4 linked regions of the Drosophila melanogaster genome follow. The protein of the gene in region 3 purifies or fractionates together with the protein of the main gene of each other region. This does not show direct contact. Each region holds a gene or a part of one and is shown on either strand. Other genes may lie near its edges. The genes, in order: yellow-f, ergic53, CG11911 and sel.

The links.
Region 1: the proteins of CG11911 (region 3) and yellow-f purify together in Drosophila melanogaster (affinity purification with mass spectrometry, with the first as the bait; one large-scale study listed by BioGRID). This does not show direct contact.
Region 2: the proteins of CG11911 (region 3) and ergic53 purify together in Drosophila melanogaster (affinity purification with mass spectrometry, with the first as the bait; one large-scale study listed by BioGRID). This does not show direct contact.
Region 4: the proteins of CG11911 (region 3) and sel purify together in Drosophila melanogaster (affinity purification with mass spectrometry, with the first as the bait; one large-scale study listed by BioGRID). This does not show direct contact.

The regions. Positions count from the first base shown.
Region 1 is NT_033777.3:12,990,949-12,995,039, reverse strand, and holds yellow-f (yellow-f), read left to right. Parts: upstream 1-1,838; 5' UTR 1,839-1,894; coding exon 1,895-2,057; intron 2,058-2,244; coding exon 2,245-2,574; intron 2,575-2,640; coding exon 2,641-3,296; intron 3,297-3,357; coding exon 3,358-3,498; 3' UTR 3,499-3,591; downstream 3,592-4,091. Other genes in the region: yellow-f2, read left to right, coding at 1-106, 223-612, 721-1,376, 1,444-1,584. UniProt on the Drosophila melanogaster protein: Tautomerization of L-dopachrome with decarboxylation to give 5,6-dihydroxyindole (DHI). Also catalyzes the tautomerization of the methyl ester of L-dopachrome and dopamine chrome. May play a role in melanization reactions during late pupal and adult stages.
Region 2 is NT_037436.4:8,533,207-8,538,548, forward strand, and holds ergic53 (ergic53), read left to right. Parts: upstream 1-1,770; 5' UTR 1,771-1,799; coding exon 1,800-1,980; intron 1,981-2,167; coding exon 2,168-2,886; intron 2,887-2,961; coding exon 2,962-3,437; intron 3,438-3,684; coding exon 3,685-3,810; intron 3,811-3,875; coding exon 3,876-3,912; 3' UTR 3,913-4,807; downstream 4,808-5,342.
Region 3 is NT_033779.5:319,744-323,146, reverse strand, and holds CG11911 (uncharacterized protein), read left to right. Parts: upstream 1-1,898; 5' UTR 1,899-1,925; coding exon 1,926-2,759; 3' UTR 2,760-2,868; downstream 2,869-3,403. Other genes in the region: CG33127 (uncharacterized protein), read right to left, coding at 162-1,016.
Region 4 is NT_033778.4:10,050,307-10,053,830, forward strand, and holds sel (seele), read right to left. Parts: upstream 1,862-3,524; 5' UTR 1,581-1,861; coding exon 1,496-1,580; intron 1,396-1,495; coding exon 1,228-1,395; intron 1,034-1,227; coding exon 717-1,033; 3' UTR 556-716; downstream 1-555. Other genes in the region: COX7CL (cytochrome c oxidase subunit 7C-like), read left to right, coding at 165-254, 316-443, 500-512. UniProt on the Drosophila melanogaster protein: Involved in embryonic dorsal-ventral patterning which is generated by a series of serine protease processing events where gd processes snk which cleaves ea which then processes spz into the activating ligand for the Toll receptor.

The sequences.
Region 1 (4,091 bases), on a different chromosome or scaffold from region 3:
GCTGATCCCATGATAGAGGTCTTCCGATGGAAGCAGATGGACTTTTACAATCGCGGAGATGGCCATCTAAGCTCGGGCGGAAGGAAAGACAGGCCCAGCTTTTCAGGTTAGTACTCATAATATGATATTACTAGTTCTCATTCAGCAATAGCAATCTCGCGAGCCTTGTTAGATAGATTTATTGGTATTTACTTATGTACTATTTTTTTATTGTTCAACTAGCTCCGGTTGTCTTTCCTGGAAAGTATTCTCGTCGAAAGCGTAAGATTATGACCTCCCGCGATACACCGGTAGTGGTCAGCTCCCGCGCCGACAGCGACGACCCCAACGCCTCCTACATTCCGTACAATAACGTGCCCATGGGAGCCACTCACTTCCGCGGCCGCCTCTTTGTCACGATGCCTCGTCGACGGGTGGGCATCCCATCCACCTTGAATTACATCGATCTGGCCGAGGACGGATCGAATCGCAGCCCCAAGCTGCGGGCCTATCCCAACTTTGCGCTTAATCAGTTCAACGCGAGTGCGGAGAATCTGGTGTCCGTCTACAGAACCTCCGTGGATGCATGCCAGCGTCTCTGGTTTATCGACACGGGAATGCTGGAGTATCCAAGTGAGTTGGCATGTATTGACATGTAATATAAAAGATCAGGATCGATCCGTATTAATCTAATTTGGTGACCAAGAATATAAAAAACTCAATCATGATTCTCATATCCAGATAACCGCCAACAGATCCGCCGTCCCAGCATTTGGGTAGTTGACTTGGCCACGGATCAGGTGCTGAAGCGCTTCGATGTTCCGGAGAGTATAGCTGAGACGGGTCGCGGATTGGCCAGCATCACCGTGGATGTGAAGGCGGGTCAGTGTGGCGATGCCTACGCCTATATTCCGGATCTGGTGTACCGGCGCCTGTACGTCTATCACCTGCGAAACGATAGAATCTGGTCCTTCGAGCACAACTACTTCAACTTCGATCCGCTGTCCGGGGATCTCAGCATTGGCGGCCAGACCTTCCGCTGGGACGATGGCATCTTCTCAATAACTTTGGGGGCCCAGAAACTGGATGGGAGCCGCGATGCCTACTTCCATCCCATGGCCAGTACGAATGAGTTTGTGGTCTCCAACCGGGTTCTGCAGCAGGAATCCAACGCCGCACGTTCCGATCATGGGAACGATTTCCGGGTACTCGGAAGCCGTGGTCCGTCCACCCAGTCTACGATGCACGCTTACGATCCTGGGACTGGGGTGATCTTCTTCGATGAGATCCAGCGCAACGGAGTGGGCTGCTGGAAGACCAGCAAGCCCATCTCGGCGGAAAACTATGGCTCTGTGGATTCCAATGCCGAGGATATGATTTATCCCAGCGACTTGTCGGTAAGCAAATGGTTTTGGATAAAAAAGTTGAAGAAAAAAAGTTATACATCTCATCTTACTATTGCAGATTGACGAGGATGGCACCATTTGGGTCATGTCCAACTCCATGCCCATCTTCATCTACTCCACACTGGACACGAGTATATACAATTTCCGGATTTGGAAGCAGAAGGCTTCACTGGCCAAGAGGGGCACAGTTTGTGAGTGATTCGTGTGGAATTCCTGTTGAATTTGTTACTTAATTAAAAATACATACATAAGTAAGAATGACGAAATTTTCGAATAAATAGTTAGCTTTACAAATATACTCTTCAGATTATCAACAAATCTTAAAAGTTGAATAAAGAGACATGGAAAATAAGAGCTTGGGAATCCCAGTGACTGCTCTTATCACTTTACATTCTGAGCTCATTTTTGAGTCGCAGAGCACGTTTAACTCAGTTGAACCCAAGCTGAGGAGTCAGTCAGTCACAAGTGGGTTTTCAGCCAGGAAAGGCGAACGACCGGAATTTTATAAAATGTTATCGCTGGACGTTCTGCTCCTGTGCGCAATCTCAGGGTTCCAATTGCTAATCTCTGCAGATGGAGATCCCATGATTGAGGTCTTCAAGTGGAAGCAGTTGGACTTTTACAATCGCGGCGATGGCTATAAGGATTTGTGGAACAGGATCTGCATTCCAGGTAACTCCAAAAATATCCAATTGAAATATGTTCAATTTCAAACATCAGCAAATGTCGGTGAATCACTAAGTTTTTCCACAAAACATTATGAAATGGTTGTAATATGAATATTATTTTAATCACCATTTTATCGTCACTTTTATAACGAATAATATGTATATATATCACAATTATTCGTTCGACAAAGATTCGCATTTCTACAACTCCCGCAAGTGCTTAGGCTCCTCATCCTCAGGATCCTTCATCCAATACAACAACGTGCCCCAAGGAGTAACCCACTTTCGAGGACGCCTCTTTGTCACCGTGCCACGGCGACAGCCGGGCATTCCGTCCACCTTAAACTACATCGATCTGGCCAAGGATGGGTGGAGTCAGAGTCCCCATCTACGGGCCTATCCCAACTTGGCGGTGAATCAGTATAATGCGAGCGAGCAGAACCTAGTGTCTGTCTATAGAACCTCAGTGGATGTCTGTGGGCGTCTCTGGTTCGTCGACACCGGAATGCTGGAGTTTCCCAGTGAGTATAATCATTTGCTTTATAGGCAAGGTGATCCAGGTTAAAATAATATTATATAACCATCAGATAATCGCCAGCAGATTCGACATCCTAGCATTTGGGTGATCGATTTGGCTAACGATCGCTTATTGAAACGATTTGAGATTCCGCAGAGCATAGTGGAGATCGGACGTGGACTAGCCAGCATCACAATCGATGTGGGCGCTCGGAGGTGCAACGATGCCTATGCCTACATTCCGGATTTGGTCAATCGCAGACTGCACGTCTATCACCTGCGAAGCGATAGAATTTGGTCCTTCGAGCACAGCTTCTTTAACTTTGATCCCCTTTCTGATAATCTCAACATTGGTGGGCAGACCTTCCGCTGGGACGACGGGATTTTCTCGGCGACCTTGGGATCATATAAGCCCGATGGCAGCAGGGATGTCTTCTTCCATCCTATGGCCAGCACGAATGAGTTTGTGGTTAGCAACAGGGTCTTGCAGCAGGAATTCAATGCAGCACGTTCTGATCATGGAGACGACTTCCATCTTCTGGGAACTCGTGGTCCGTCCACCCAGTCCACAATGCATAAATACGATCCGCGGACCGGGGTGATTTTCTTTGCCGAGGTCCAGAAGAGTGGAGTGGGCTGCTGGAAAACCAGCAAGCCGTTCTCAACGGAAAACCATGGCTCCGTTTATTCCAATTCATCGGAGATGATTTATCCCAGCGATTTGACCGTAAGCTCATCCCTTTCTATTTGTAACACGAAAACGAAGGTTAAGTGCGTTGTTGTTTTAGATCGACGAGGAGGGATACATTTGGGTGATGTCCAACTCCATGCCCATCTTTGTGTACTCCAAGCTGGATGTGGAGAAGTACAATTTCCGAATCTGGAGGCAGTCGACATTGCTGGCCAAGAGGGGAACAGTTTGTGAGTGATTTGCGTGGAATTGCTTTAATGAATTTTTCGCATAAGTAATATGTTTATCGAAATAACACACGGAAACTTATTAATAAAATAAATCAAAAAGCATTTACATATGTATCGTTTAAAATTGCCTAAATTTGAGTACTCATTTTTATCACATCTTATATGTTACGACAGATGCGTATGTCTTTTCGCACGAAACAAATGAAAACATGAAAGAAAACAACATCAATGAACAAAATCAGAGGCACTCCAATATTGCATAAGGATACTAAGTTGCACAGTTGTGTGTGTAAGGGTTACGCGTGTATATGTTAACCTAAAATACTTGAATTTCATGTTGTAAATTTCTCATAACTTTTCCGCATCTAAACAAATTCGAGGTGTAAATTTGGTAGCCCTTCAAAGTGTCAGCTATACATATGGTGTATATAGATCTATATATATATATATATATATATCTATTCAATTTGTATATATATGTACGAGTTTATATAAAGTTTTGCAAAAAATATATAGGTTGCTTTTGTATATGTTCCTCAACGCTACACCTAAGTCCTTTAAGTAGTTTCGATCATAGTTAATATATGTAGTGTGTAGTACG
Region 2 (5,342 bases), on a different chromosome or scaffold from region 3:
TAGAACCTCTTGAATTATTATTTTTTGTATAATTTCATTACATTGTTGTTTACATTATTAGTTCACAGAGTTAGACAAAACAGAACCACAGACACAGCCGGTTGGCGCTTATCAAACGCATTTGTTATCCAGTTTATGAAACACACAACCTCACACCCACACACAAGCGACGCAATTCATCAAACTCGTTTTATTTTCGTTCCTAATTTTGCTATTGAACTGCGTTCGAATCCATTTCACACCCAATTTAATGTAAGATGTCTTGAAATTGGCTAGGTTATAAAGTGATCTTGAATTTAGATGAAAACATTTGAAAAGCATGCCGTGATGCTGTCAAATGAGAAAAGGAAGTAACAAAAAATGGATTGGATCTGGATCCCACAATCCTCTAATTACTGATCTTATACACGAAAGAGAACCTAAAAATTACGATATATTATATATAAATATACATATATATTGTAGGATATGTATACATACATATACTTTTTGTATTTTGTAGTCTAGAGTGCGCACGTTTACTTTATGCGAGTTTAACATTCTAAACCCAAAATAAAGGTATGTCCACCGCTGTTATGATTTTCTACAGTACTTAACGACTTGAACGCATATTTCCTCTTTCGGGAAATGTACACAAAACCCATTTAAGCTTAATTTATTATCGTATTTGTAATAAATTGAAAAGATTATTATATTGCACCATCATGCATAATTTAGATTTTCGCTACACTGTAGCGCCTTCGTTTAATTATAATTTTGTAATAAATCAAGCTAAAACAAAGACTTTGATTTTGTTTTAATCGATTTGAGTTTTTCTTTTGATCGCGCACAGAACTAACACGAAAGTGATTGTGATTCAAAATAAGTAACTAACATTTGTAAAATGGCGAAACTTGCGGCACGATCGCCCCTAATGACTATCCCCCACACACCGATCTGCACACAAAGCTATCACTTGTGTAAACTGAGCAACTAACAATATTTTATGAAGCCCACACTATGTGCTACCGAGGCATTAAAACCTATAATAATTCTAGCTGTAAGCTCTACGAAAACTACAAACGGTAGGAAATCAGAAACAAAGAATAAAGATGTAAACATATATACACACACTGTGCTAACTGTGCTAAAGGAATTTTGGAGATATGGATGTAATACTACTTTGGTGATATCACGCAAAAGGCAATTGAAACAACTAACGAAATAATTTTACAATAACGTATTGATAAACATGTATCTATGTAAGCACATGCGAATGGCGCGTATTTTGCTATATTTATGTTTATTTTCTAACGGGACGTAAACACTTTAAATTTTCAAAATAAATGTTTTTCCACCTCAACATCATAAAGTGATAACAAGATCTTTTGAATTTGGTGGGCATTTGCGATATCGATATAAAATCTACCGAAATCGATAGCGATTGTATTGTCGCTGCCTGAATATTTTTTAGATCACTTGGTTCTTGTTTCTTAGAATGCATGGAAAAACTTTTATCTTATAGAATTTTAAATTGTGATCTAAGCTGAAGTTAATTGTTATAGGATGGCTGGTTTTATTTAAGTTCAACATTTATATACGAAGGATGGCCTAAATAAATGTTCTAATCAATTTATATTATATTACCTTAATTGTTAATGGTAGACAATACATAAAATAATATTTGATTTTAAATTATACAATGCTTTTAGAACATCCAGTGCGATACCACCGCCTATCGGTGCCGGCTGGTTATCGATATCATCAGTTTGCACCATCGTCGCCCACCCACCACTAGTTGTCAACATATAATTGCAAAGATGCGGCCCACATTCCTGGCCATTTTGTGCTTCCTGGCGTGGAATCCCAGCTCCGAGGCGACCGGCAATCTGAGTCCTGGAGCCGTGGGCGTGCACCGTCGCTTCGAGTACAAGTACTCGTTCAAGCCGCCGTATTTGGCACAGAAAGACGGCACCGTGCCGTTTTGGGAGTACGGGGGAAGTGAGTACGAGTGGAAGACGCAGCTCCACGTCAGTTGTTTTGGCCCACTCGCTGCTGGTCTGCGGCCATGGGTGCGAGCGAGATGGCGCGAGGCGGCCAAGTGTACACGCAGGCACTTTGTTTGGATGTCGTTTTGACCACGGTTTCGGGTGTTTCTATAGCCACAACTTGTTGCTCCTCATTTCAGATGCCATCGCCAGTTCGGAAAGTGTGCGCGTGGCGCCATCGCTGCGCTCACAGAAGGGTGCCATCTGGACAAAGTCACAGACGAACTTCGACTGGTGGGACGTGGAGATCGTGTTCCGGGTGACGGGACGTGGCAGGATCGGAGCCGATGGATTGGCCTTCTGGTACACCACGGAAAAGGGTGACTACAATGGGCCTGTGTTCGGATCCTCGGACCGCTGGAATGGTCTGGCCATCATGTTCGATTCCTTCGATAATGACAACAAGCACAACAATCCTTACATCAGTGCCGTGCTCAATGATGGCACCAAGCTGTATGACCATGCCGAAGATGGAACCACTCAGCTCCTGAGCGGTTGCCTCAGGGATTTCCGTAACAAGCCCTTCCCTACACGGGCGCGAATCGAGTACTACAACAACGTGCTTACCGTCATGATCCACAACGGAATGTCCAACAACAACGATGACTACGAGCTGTGTCTGAGAGCGGATGGCGTCAATCTGCCCAAGAACGGCTACTTTGGCATTTCCGCCGCCACGGGCGGTCTGGCCGATGACCACGATGTGTTCCATTTCCTGACCACGTCGTTGCATGCCGCTGGACAAGTTCAGGAGCAGCCCAAGGTGGAAAACCAGGAGAAGCTTACGCAAGAGTACAAGGAATACCAAGATAAACTGGAGAAACAGAAGCAGGAGTACAAGAAGGACCATCCCGACGAGGTAATTGCCACGCAGCCAGCTGATAAAGATGTCTTATCGCTAGTTTTGATAATCAACTTTCGTATAATCCCACAGCACAAAGACGAGGAGGACTGGGAGGAGTTCTACGAGTCGGAGAACCAGCGTGAGCTGCGTCAGATCTGGCAGGGTCAGAGCCAAATTGCCGATCACCTACGCGAACTTTCCCGCAAAGTGGATGAGATTATTGGCCGCCAGGAGACCACGCTGTCGCTGGTCTCACGTAATGCTGGACAGGCTCTGCCTCCGCCCGCCGCCGGCGGAGTGCCACAGCAACAGCTGCCCGTTGGCGCAGTCAGCAGGAGCGATGTAGATCTTCTGCTCACTAATCAGAACATGCTGCTCAGTTCCATCCGCGAGATTCGTCAACTGGTTGGCGATATCAATGTGCGCACTGATAACATTCAAACGAATCAGAAGCATGCGCCCACAGCACAAATCCAATCCACCGGCTATGATGTACAAACGCTCATCGCCGAGATGCGCGATGGCATGAATCAGGTCAAGCAGGGCATCACCCACGTGGGCCAAAGGTGAGGAATACGCTCAAAGTCTATTTTAAGTTTCCTAAAGCTGTTGTCATCGAAGTTATTCTGAGCTCGAATTAATTTTAACCTTTTCAGCCATATTTATACTAATTTTTCGTATTCCACATTATGAAATTAGAGTTTTAACAAGTTTGATTCAGAGGAACATGTTTATGAGTTTTAGACTATTATACTTTATTGTCATCTTTTAAGTACCTCCTTGATACTCAATATGCATTCCCTTACCTTGCAGATTGGCAGCGCCACAGGGAGCAGCGCAGGTGGCCAATTGTCCCACGGGCAATTGCGTTGGAGTCACATTGTTCCTAAGCGTAACTGTTGTGCAACTGCTGCTAGTCTTCATCTACAACGTCTTCAAGTGAGTTCATGGAATCTTTAAGCGTGGATTCGAAACTAAACAATCTAACTTATTATTCCTTGCAGAAACCGCAGCGAAGCACAGGCGAAAAAGTTCTATTAGGCGAATTCGCGACTTATTGGGATCGTAACGAATAACAAACACACAAGCATACACCCACAGAAATCACGAGGAAACAGATTCGCACACCTGACTAGGCAGCAACTAAATTTAGTTAAAATGAAAGATTTAAGACTTCAGCGTAGCATGCTCTACCATTATGTGTAACTGTTTGTTTTTTAAATAGAAGTCTGTTTAAGAAGTCAGGTCACGAATACAAACTCAAGTCGTTACTTAATCAAAGCAAGAACAAGAAATTTGATCAATGATGTATGCCTCATGACAATGCCACGCAATACAAAACGAAGAAACCGTCGAAGAAGCCACAAGACAAACTTCCCTTAGTAATAGCCAACAGAAGATGTTTCATATTTGTTTTAGCAAGTCAAGTCGAAAGTTTCACTCCATTCTCAACTCTGCATATCATGTGTGCAGGCATTTATAAGAAGCACAAGAAAATCTATCTAAAAAAAAATAAAAATAAAAATGGCAAAATCTATATAAGTACGAAAATTCCGTAAACGTAGCAAATTTTTGTAATATCTTGTATACTTTAGAGTTGAGATGAATCCATCAGGCTCGGCTCTTGAAACTGAATTGGCAACATAAATCTTTTTTCCCATTTTCATGCGCCAAATGGTCAACAAAGCTAGTTAGCCAGCATTTTTGTTATTACGCCAGAAAGTGAATTAATTTAATAATTATGATGAACTGTCTCACTAAGTTTTTGTTCGGTTCGCATCGTCACTGGTGCGATGTAAGGAAGTTTTCTACTGAATAATCTTAATATACATACTGATAAATTATAAAACAATTGAAGTGAAGTGTGTTTTTATATATGTTGTCCATTCCAGTCTCGATAGAAATGTTTAAAGTGAAAATAAAAATCAATTTATAGAAAAATCTATCTCCAACTGTTCAACTTGATAGTTTTAATCTGCGTCCTCATTTTATTTTTATACTTTTCCGAATGCGATATTATTTTCGCTGATGTCGACAGAGGAAAAAGTTTATTTCTTGAAAAGTCCTCGCAAGCATAAACTAGAATCCCTGTCAGTTGCCCATCCCCATCTTCATCCTCCCATCGATGACAATGCGGCAAAAATGGCGCCACTTGGTCGCCAGAATGCGTGGGGCTGGGGAACGAGTTGGGTTCTGGTGAACTTTGGCCATAAAATGTAACTGCCAATGGTGGCATTGTGGGCAGGTCCTCTGTGGTCTGAGTACCCATTCCATCGCATTGGGGAAAATCCCAGGAAAAGCACAGCCAAAGATAGATGGACAGAAGCCAACGGCAGTCGCGGCCCATGCAATAAATTCTCTACGGGATCGGGGAATGGGTTACACAGTTCTGGTGTGCGGTTGGATGGTAGCTTCGCCTATGTGCTCCGTTTCCTATATACTTTCACTGCGCAGGAGCAGGACCAGTTTCC
Region 3 (3,403 bases):
TAGTTCGATTTCAGGCAATCAGCCGTCCACTTATCGAGCAATAAAACAAGGTTTTCTATTCACGTTAACGAGCTCTGTGATAAGATACGAAAACGCGCGGTGTTTACTTTAATGTACTGCTAGAGTATTACGCAAAGATCTCCCCTTCGACACCACGACTCTCAGTTAAGCTGGTAGTAGGCGCCGATCGTTTGGTGGATCCATCCAATGTAAGGGGGTACAGAGGTGTACACCGTTGGCCGATTGGCATATCCGCACGGCATATAGCTCCAGGATCCGAGGCCCACCAACTCCGCCGGTCCAGTGATGGGCCAGTAGATCAGGGGAGTGCCTCCGTCTCCGTAGCAGGTCTTTACCTGAGAGCACACCTGCTGCGCCGTCAGAGGAGCGTCTGCGGGCAGCAACTCCTTGCAACCCGTGCTATTGAGTAGGGGAGCGAAGGCATACTGCAACTCTTTGGAGTACTCGTCGCCATCGGGGTCGGTGAGTCCCCAGCCATAAGCAGCAGCTGTCTTATTGCTGTAATCATCATTGATGTCGGGCAGGGCGATCTGCTGAACTCGAGCGTTGTACTCGAAGCTCTCAGAGACGTGGAGCAAGGCTATATTGTCACTTCCGGCGTTTCCATTGAAAGACCGATGCGTTGAGGCGAAGTCGACGTAGCGCACTTGGGCGGCCGTCACGTTCGACCGGTTGATGATTCCAGCGTAAACGGGTGTTCCTACGGCATCTCCGTTGAAGGTGCGCAGTTCATCGACACAATGAGCAGCCGTCAGGAGCCATCGTTTGCCAATGATGGATGCCCCGCACAAGTGGGTATAGGTGGCCCTTGTCAAGGACAGGGACACCAGGTAGGGCACATTGTCCACCCCCTGCACATCGTAGCCATCTATAATCAGGGGCTGGATCTCTGCGTGAACTTGTTCTGTATCCCTCAATGTCAGGTGTTGAATGTGCGGAAGTTTAGCCGCTCCGGCCAAAGCCAAGAGGGGCAGCAGGAAAAGCGGCGATAACATCACTGATACGGTTGAGAATTTGAATCGTCTAAACCGGACGCCGAAAAGCAACTGGCCTTTTATAGTACAAGACCAAAAAGCTTTGCCATGCAGAGGAAAGAGAGAAAACCCCTGGAGTGCAGCAGTAACTCAAAGAACTAGTTCGATTATAGAAATATTGGACTAACCTCTGATACCGGGAATTAAGAGATTACGTTTTTAATGTGGCTTTAAAAAATTACATGGAGTGGGACATTCAACTTCTCCACATTACCTAACATATATGCATATATTGTATGTATGTATGTAGCATGTAAAATATAATTTAAGTTTAAGCTCCGTCTTAGGCTACATGTACTATTTTAACCTCCTGGTGCTGTGGCATTTAAATTTTGCAATTAACCTTTGAAGCGCGTAAGAGGACACAATGAAGATCGCGGAGTGCATCCTTGCATGCACTAATTGCCGACTGTCCGGAACAAGCTGCAACCATGTGTCATTAGGGCCACATGTCCCATGGTGTGGATGTTGTCCTGAAAATGTTTACGCAAACACGCGGTCACTTCAGGGGTATGAAATCTCTTCCTCCTCTCTTAATTGGCTTTGAACGCCAGCTGGGAGAACCCCATCGAGAGGGGTCAGTATTTATAGCATCCTTTGAGACTGGGCCGTGGTCGACCTTGCCGTGTCAACACCTCGGTTAGCACATTACGCACACCCACGTGGGCGCAGATTTCCAGGGCTTTTCCCATTCAAGAACAAGTTACTATTAAATACGCGTACTCATATCGGACAATCGTAATCAATTCAGACGAAATTAACTAATCGTCAAATACTATTCATAAATCTATCTGCTTATCTCTAGTGGTGGGCAAGTATAAAAGGTGCCATTAGTTGGTAGTCAGTATACATTCTCCGTAAATCTGCAGAATGAAACTGATCACTGTGACTTTGGTTATTGCCCTTGTGGCCGCCGCCCAGGGAGCCAAGCTCTCCGACAAGCTGGCCAAACTCGTGCCTAGCTTTGCGACCGGCTTCGTGATCAACGGCACGGAGGCAGAACCCCACTCCGCCCCGTACATTGTTTCCCTGGCGACCAACTACTTGAAGCACTCGCACATCTGCGGAGGCACCTTGATTAACAAGGACTGGATTGTGACTGCTGCTCATTGCATTTCCGAGCCAGTAGGCATGAGCATCATTGCCGGACTCCACACCCGTGCCGAGGTGGATGAGCTGACCCAGCAGCGCCAAGTTGACTTTGGCCGCGTCCACGAGAAGTACACCGGTGGCGTTGGGCCCTACGACATTGCCCTGCTGCACGTGAACGAGTCTTTCATCTTCAACGAGTGGGTGCAGCCCGCCACCTTGCCCAGCCGTGAACAAGTCCATGAGGGAGAGACCCACCTGTACGGTTGGGGACAGCCAAAGTCCTACATCTTCTCGGGCGCCAAGACCCTGCAGACTGTGACCACCCAAATTTTGAACTACGAGGAGTGCAAGGAGGAGCTGCCGGAAAGCGCTCCTATCGCTGAGTCCAACATCTGCTCCTCTTCCCTGCAACAGAGCAAGTCTGCATGCAACGGTGACTCCGGCGGCCCCCTGGTTGTTGAGTTCACAAACGCCCCCTCCGAGCTGATTGGCATCGTATCCTGGGGCTACATCCCCTGCGGACTGGCCAACATGCCTTCCATTTACACCAAGGTGTCGGCCTACATTGATTGGATAACCAATATTCAGAGTGCCTACTACAAGCTCTTCTAAACAAAAGGAAGAAACTATTAGTCAGATCTATTAGCCAGGATCGAAATCGCTATTGATCAGAGTCATGATCGATTGTTGAATAAAAGCATCCAACTAAAACTTGTCTTGTAACTTTTTTGCGTTTATTCTTTCTAAAATACCATCCTCTTCAACGCAAAGCAAAAACGTTCAAAAAGAAACTAGTTTTGTACACCCCTCCGATTGATCGATTGTGAAATAATTATAGGCAATGAAAGTCCAGTCTCTGTTTGCTTTTCTACAATTTATTGTGTCTGATTACCCTTGAATCGAACTGTAATCGGAACTGGATTAAAGACGGTCCCGAACACACCATTTGTCTCTTGATTTATGGTTTCTAATATAAGCTCTGGAAAAGCCCAGACTTTTGGAGGCGTGTGCCATTGATAGACGATCCAGTATCGAAAGTCATGCACTCGACCAATCAAATCTAACCGGACTGAAAGCTCCTTATCATTGCTATTAAAAAAGTGCTAAATAATATTGAACAAAGAGATTGGAAAAGCTTTACAAAGTTCGAATTCTAAGAATCAACATGTTGCTAAAACAACGTTTAATACAACAAAGAATACAAGGATGACGCATGAAAATTTACAACTTTAAAAGTTAAATTTTTCTAGATGCTT
Region 4 (3,524 bases), on a different chromosome or scaffold from region 3:
AAGGGTTCCCTTAAGTAGGCTTGCCTATAAAGATATATGTCAGGAAATTTTTCGAAAAGCCAGTAACTTTCATTCGTTCGCTAGAAATCTGGGAGTAACTTCTCACTCGCAAGCAATCAAATAATTTCTTATTCCCGTCTCAACAAACGGATTAAAATTTACTCATGTGGCCCACACTTCGTAAACCCATTGGCAAGTTTAGCGGGCCGCTGATGCGTTATGGGAGTGGATATCCAGGCGGCTCTCCTGGGGCGGTAGTTAATCCAAGGTCAACACGCAGCTAACCATTCTAAGAACTTACAATTTCCCTCACAGAACTTACCCTTTGGCTTGGATAGTCCAATGCGTTTCACACTATTTTACCTAATTGCGGGAGTCGTGGGCTTTGGGGCTCCGTTCCTAGTTATTCGCCATCAGATGCTTCGTAATGTAACCAATGATCCGTAAGTAATCCGAGTAATCCAATAAAATCGTATCGTTATTAATGTTTGCTTTACAGCAAGGATGAGTAATCCCAAAATGACATAGAACACTCGTTAATAAATTAATAAAAATACATTGCACATGGAATTTATTGTCGTACATAATTTGTAACACTTGGCATGGTTTTCTTTACATTAGCTAAACATAATTTTCGTTCGAAATATCAGTACAAAGACCTCCACTGGCGGCGATCAAGGAAATTCGTTAATTAACTAAGCTTTCACTGGGACAAACTACAGTTCCTCTTTGCCATCAAAGTCATACTCCTCCTGGACCGGCGATTCGTCGCAGTAGCTCGCTTGTTCTGAGCAGATCTTGATGTCTAAATCGTTTCCGAGCTCTTCGGCCTGGAAGGCTTTAACGAAGATCTCATCGTTGTCCTCCAGTACTTCGTTGCAGAAGTGCCCCAGGCTTTTGTTGAGATCACCATCTTGCACAAAGTCAACCAACGAGGAGTCTGGGTTCATCTGACCATTGATGATCATCTTGAGGAGTGTGAATTTCCCGTTGCTCTTGTAGGTTGCCTTCAAGTAGTCGTCCATTTTTTCGCCTTAGAACGGGAAAATATTAGGAATGATAAGCAAAGTGTTATCATTAATAGAATACCACATATAACTATCTTCATTGATAAACAATAGCTACGCTCGAAGGTAAAACTTTTGACTAACGTCAAATGTTTTAAGATTAGACTGGTCTTTATCAAGCCTCTATGCTATTCCGTACCATATGGTAATAATTACTTACAGATCTTCTCCATCAGTTCGGTAAGGAACATTTCAGATTTCACTAGGCGAACTTTCTTGCTGATCGAATTTCCCTGTGCGTCCAGCCGGAATCCACTGACATCGGCCATCTTGTGGGGGTCCTCCTTGGCAATGGCCTCCTCCAGTTCCGTAACCACGGCCTTGCACACTGTAATTTATGGAACCTCAATTATCCGGGCTCCCAGGGCCAGCCAACAAGTGCACTGCCGCCTGTTGCTGGCGCGCTGTTATGTGTGGATTCTCCTTACCGTGACACTTGACCTCGCGGGAGGTGAAGCTGTAACCTTGGGCCAAGGCCAGCAGGCCGAACAGGATAAGCGCCTTCGTCAGCATCTTTTTAATTGATTGTTTAATAGTTTAACGCGTGGAAACTAATTGCATTAACCACGTCAGCAGAAGCGCCTTCCGTTTAAAAGTGCGGCGTTGATAAAGACGTGTGCTGTATTTACGACGACTTAAGAGCGACGTGGTTCTTGATGCTCTGCAGCGATAAGTGAAGAATTCTACTTAATTTATGCCCAAGATGTGGTGACGAGGGACGCGGTCAGTGGGTCTGGGTCAGCGTTCACAAGAATTGTGGTAAACGTTTTAAAGAAACCTTATTGATAATACCCGGCTATCGATAGAACTTTTCTAGCTAACGCCAGTTTTGGCTATCAAATATTTTTAAGGTGACCATCTCTACCTATTTTAAGCTAAAAATGAAATATGTGTACTTGTCGTTAAGAGATTTAATTTGATGATTCACATAAAATGATGTCGTTTAACATTTGTAAATCGTTTGAACAAAAAAAATATCGATAGTCAAGTGCGCGCGTTAATTCAAATCTTGATCGTAGCACGATGCACGTTGAAATGTTTAAGTTTGGGGGAGAGCTGCATTATATACATATGTGCATCTCAATTCTCGTATTCTCTTAGCTCTAGATCGAAAACTTATGTACATTAGCCGATGTGCTACTATATAGTGAGCCGATAACTGAAGAGTCAGTGCAAATGGAGAATCGCTCGCGAGTGGTTGCTCTGTTTTCGGATCGAGATGTGAGGACGAGGGGTTCGCGTAATTAACCGGCAAAGCGTTTGTAAATTAAAAGAAACCCACAAGTCGGCCGCGTTCCTCGATTTCTACATACTCTTATTAACCATTATAATTGGCGTTAATTAAGTGTCGTGTTTCTCTCTCGGCGCGTGTTTCTCTTCCCTATTCCCCTTGTTCGCTTGCACTGATGATCATTTTTCTTGGCGTCTGTTTGTTTGCTCGGTTAATTGATAAGAACGAATTGTAGTCGTCGGACTTGCCGTATTTATAGAGCAATGCCGCAAAAGAAACGGAAATGCAATGCAAATTGTTGCTATACCTTTTAGCGTAGGTTCAATTTTTTGACCCTGCCAAACGGAAAGTGGCATTCGCGGGCTACGAGATAAGCGATCGATGATAATTTATTCAGCTATGAATGAGTTCGAGAAGCACCGCAATCTTAAATAGAAAACACATAGATTTAATGTGGATTTTATTTAAAAATATATAGAAAAATATATATCTCCTTATTAAAATCAAGTGCAACGGCACAAACCTTTAACACAAACACCTTTAAAGCCCTTCTTCGAACAGAGGGAATTGCACCGCTCAATGCAGGACTGTCGCCTTGGGCGGACATGTTCCTTCGCATCCTGGATAAGACTCCTTTGAAGCTCCTTTTGCAGAAGTCTATTCTCGGAATCCTTCGGAATAGATCGAACCTGCATTAAGCAAACCGCAACTAGAGTTAGCGCCAGAATAATCGTGATCTTCATGTTGTGATATGAAATCGAGAACTGTTCCAGCTCGTTCAGGTTGCATTCGTGTTTTATAGTAAATTGAAAGGCTGCCGGTTTATGATAATGAGTATTTTTGTCGTAAGAATAGAAAATATTATTGTTTCTTTTCAAAGTTATGCGGAATAAAGTATATGCGAAAGCTGTTTCCGTTTGTTGCTCAGTTAGAAACTGACTAATTATGCCGTTATATGACATTGTATGTTTGGAAACTACAGCAAAAGCTTTATGTAACCAAATTATATTAAAGTACAACGCAAACAATCGATGGGAGAAATTATACAAATTTAAAAAGAATTTCAAATTTGTATTGCTTTTTTAAGTAAAGTTTACTGAGCTTAATATTTCTTTATTAAAATCTGCCTTGAATCGCCATGAAGACCAATAACTGCTCCCGTTAAGAGCTTTTTTAAACAAAGTAAATATATACGTATATATTTGGTATATATAGATCGTGCTCCT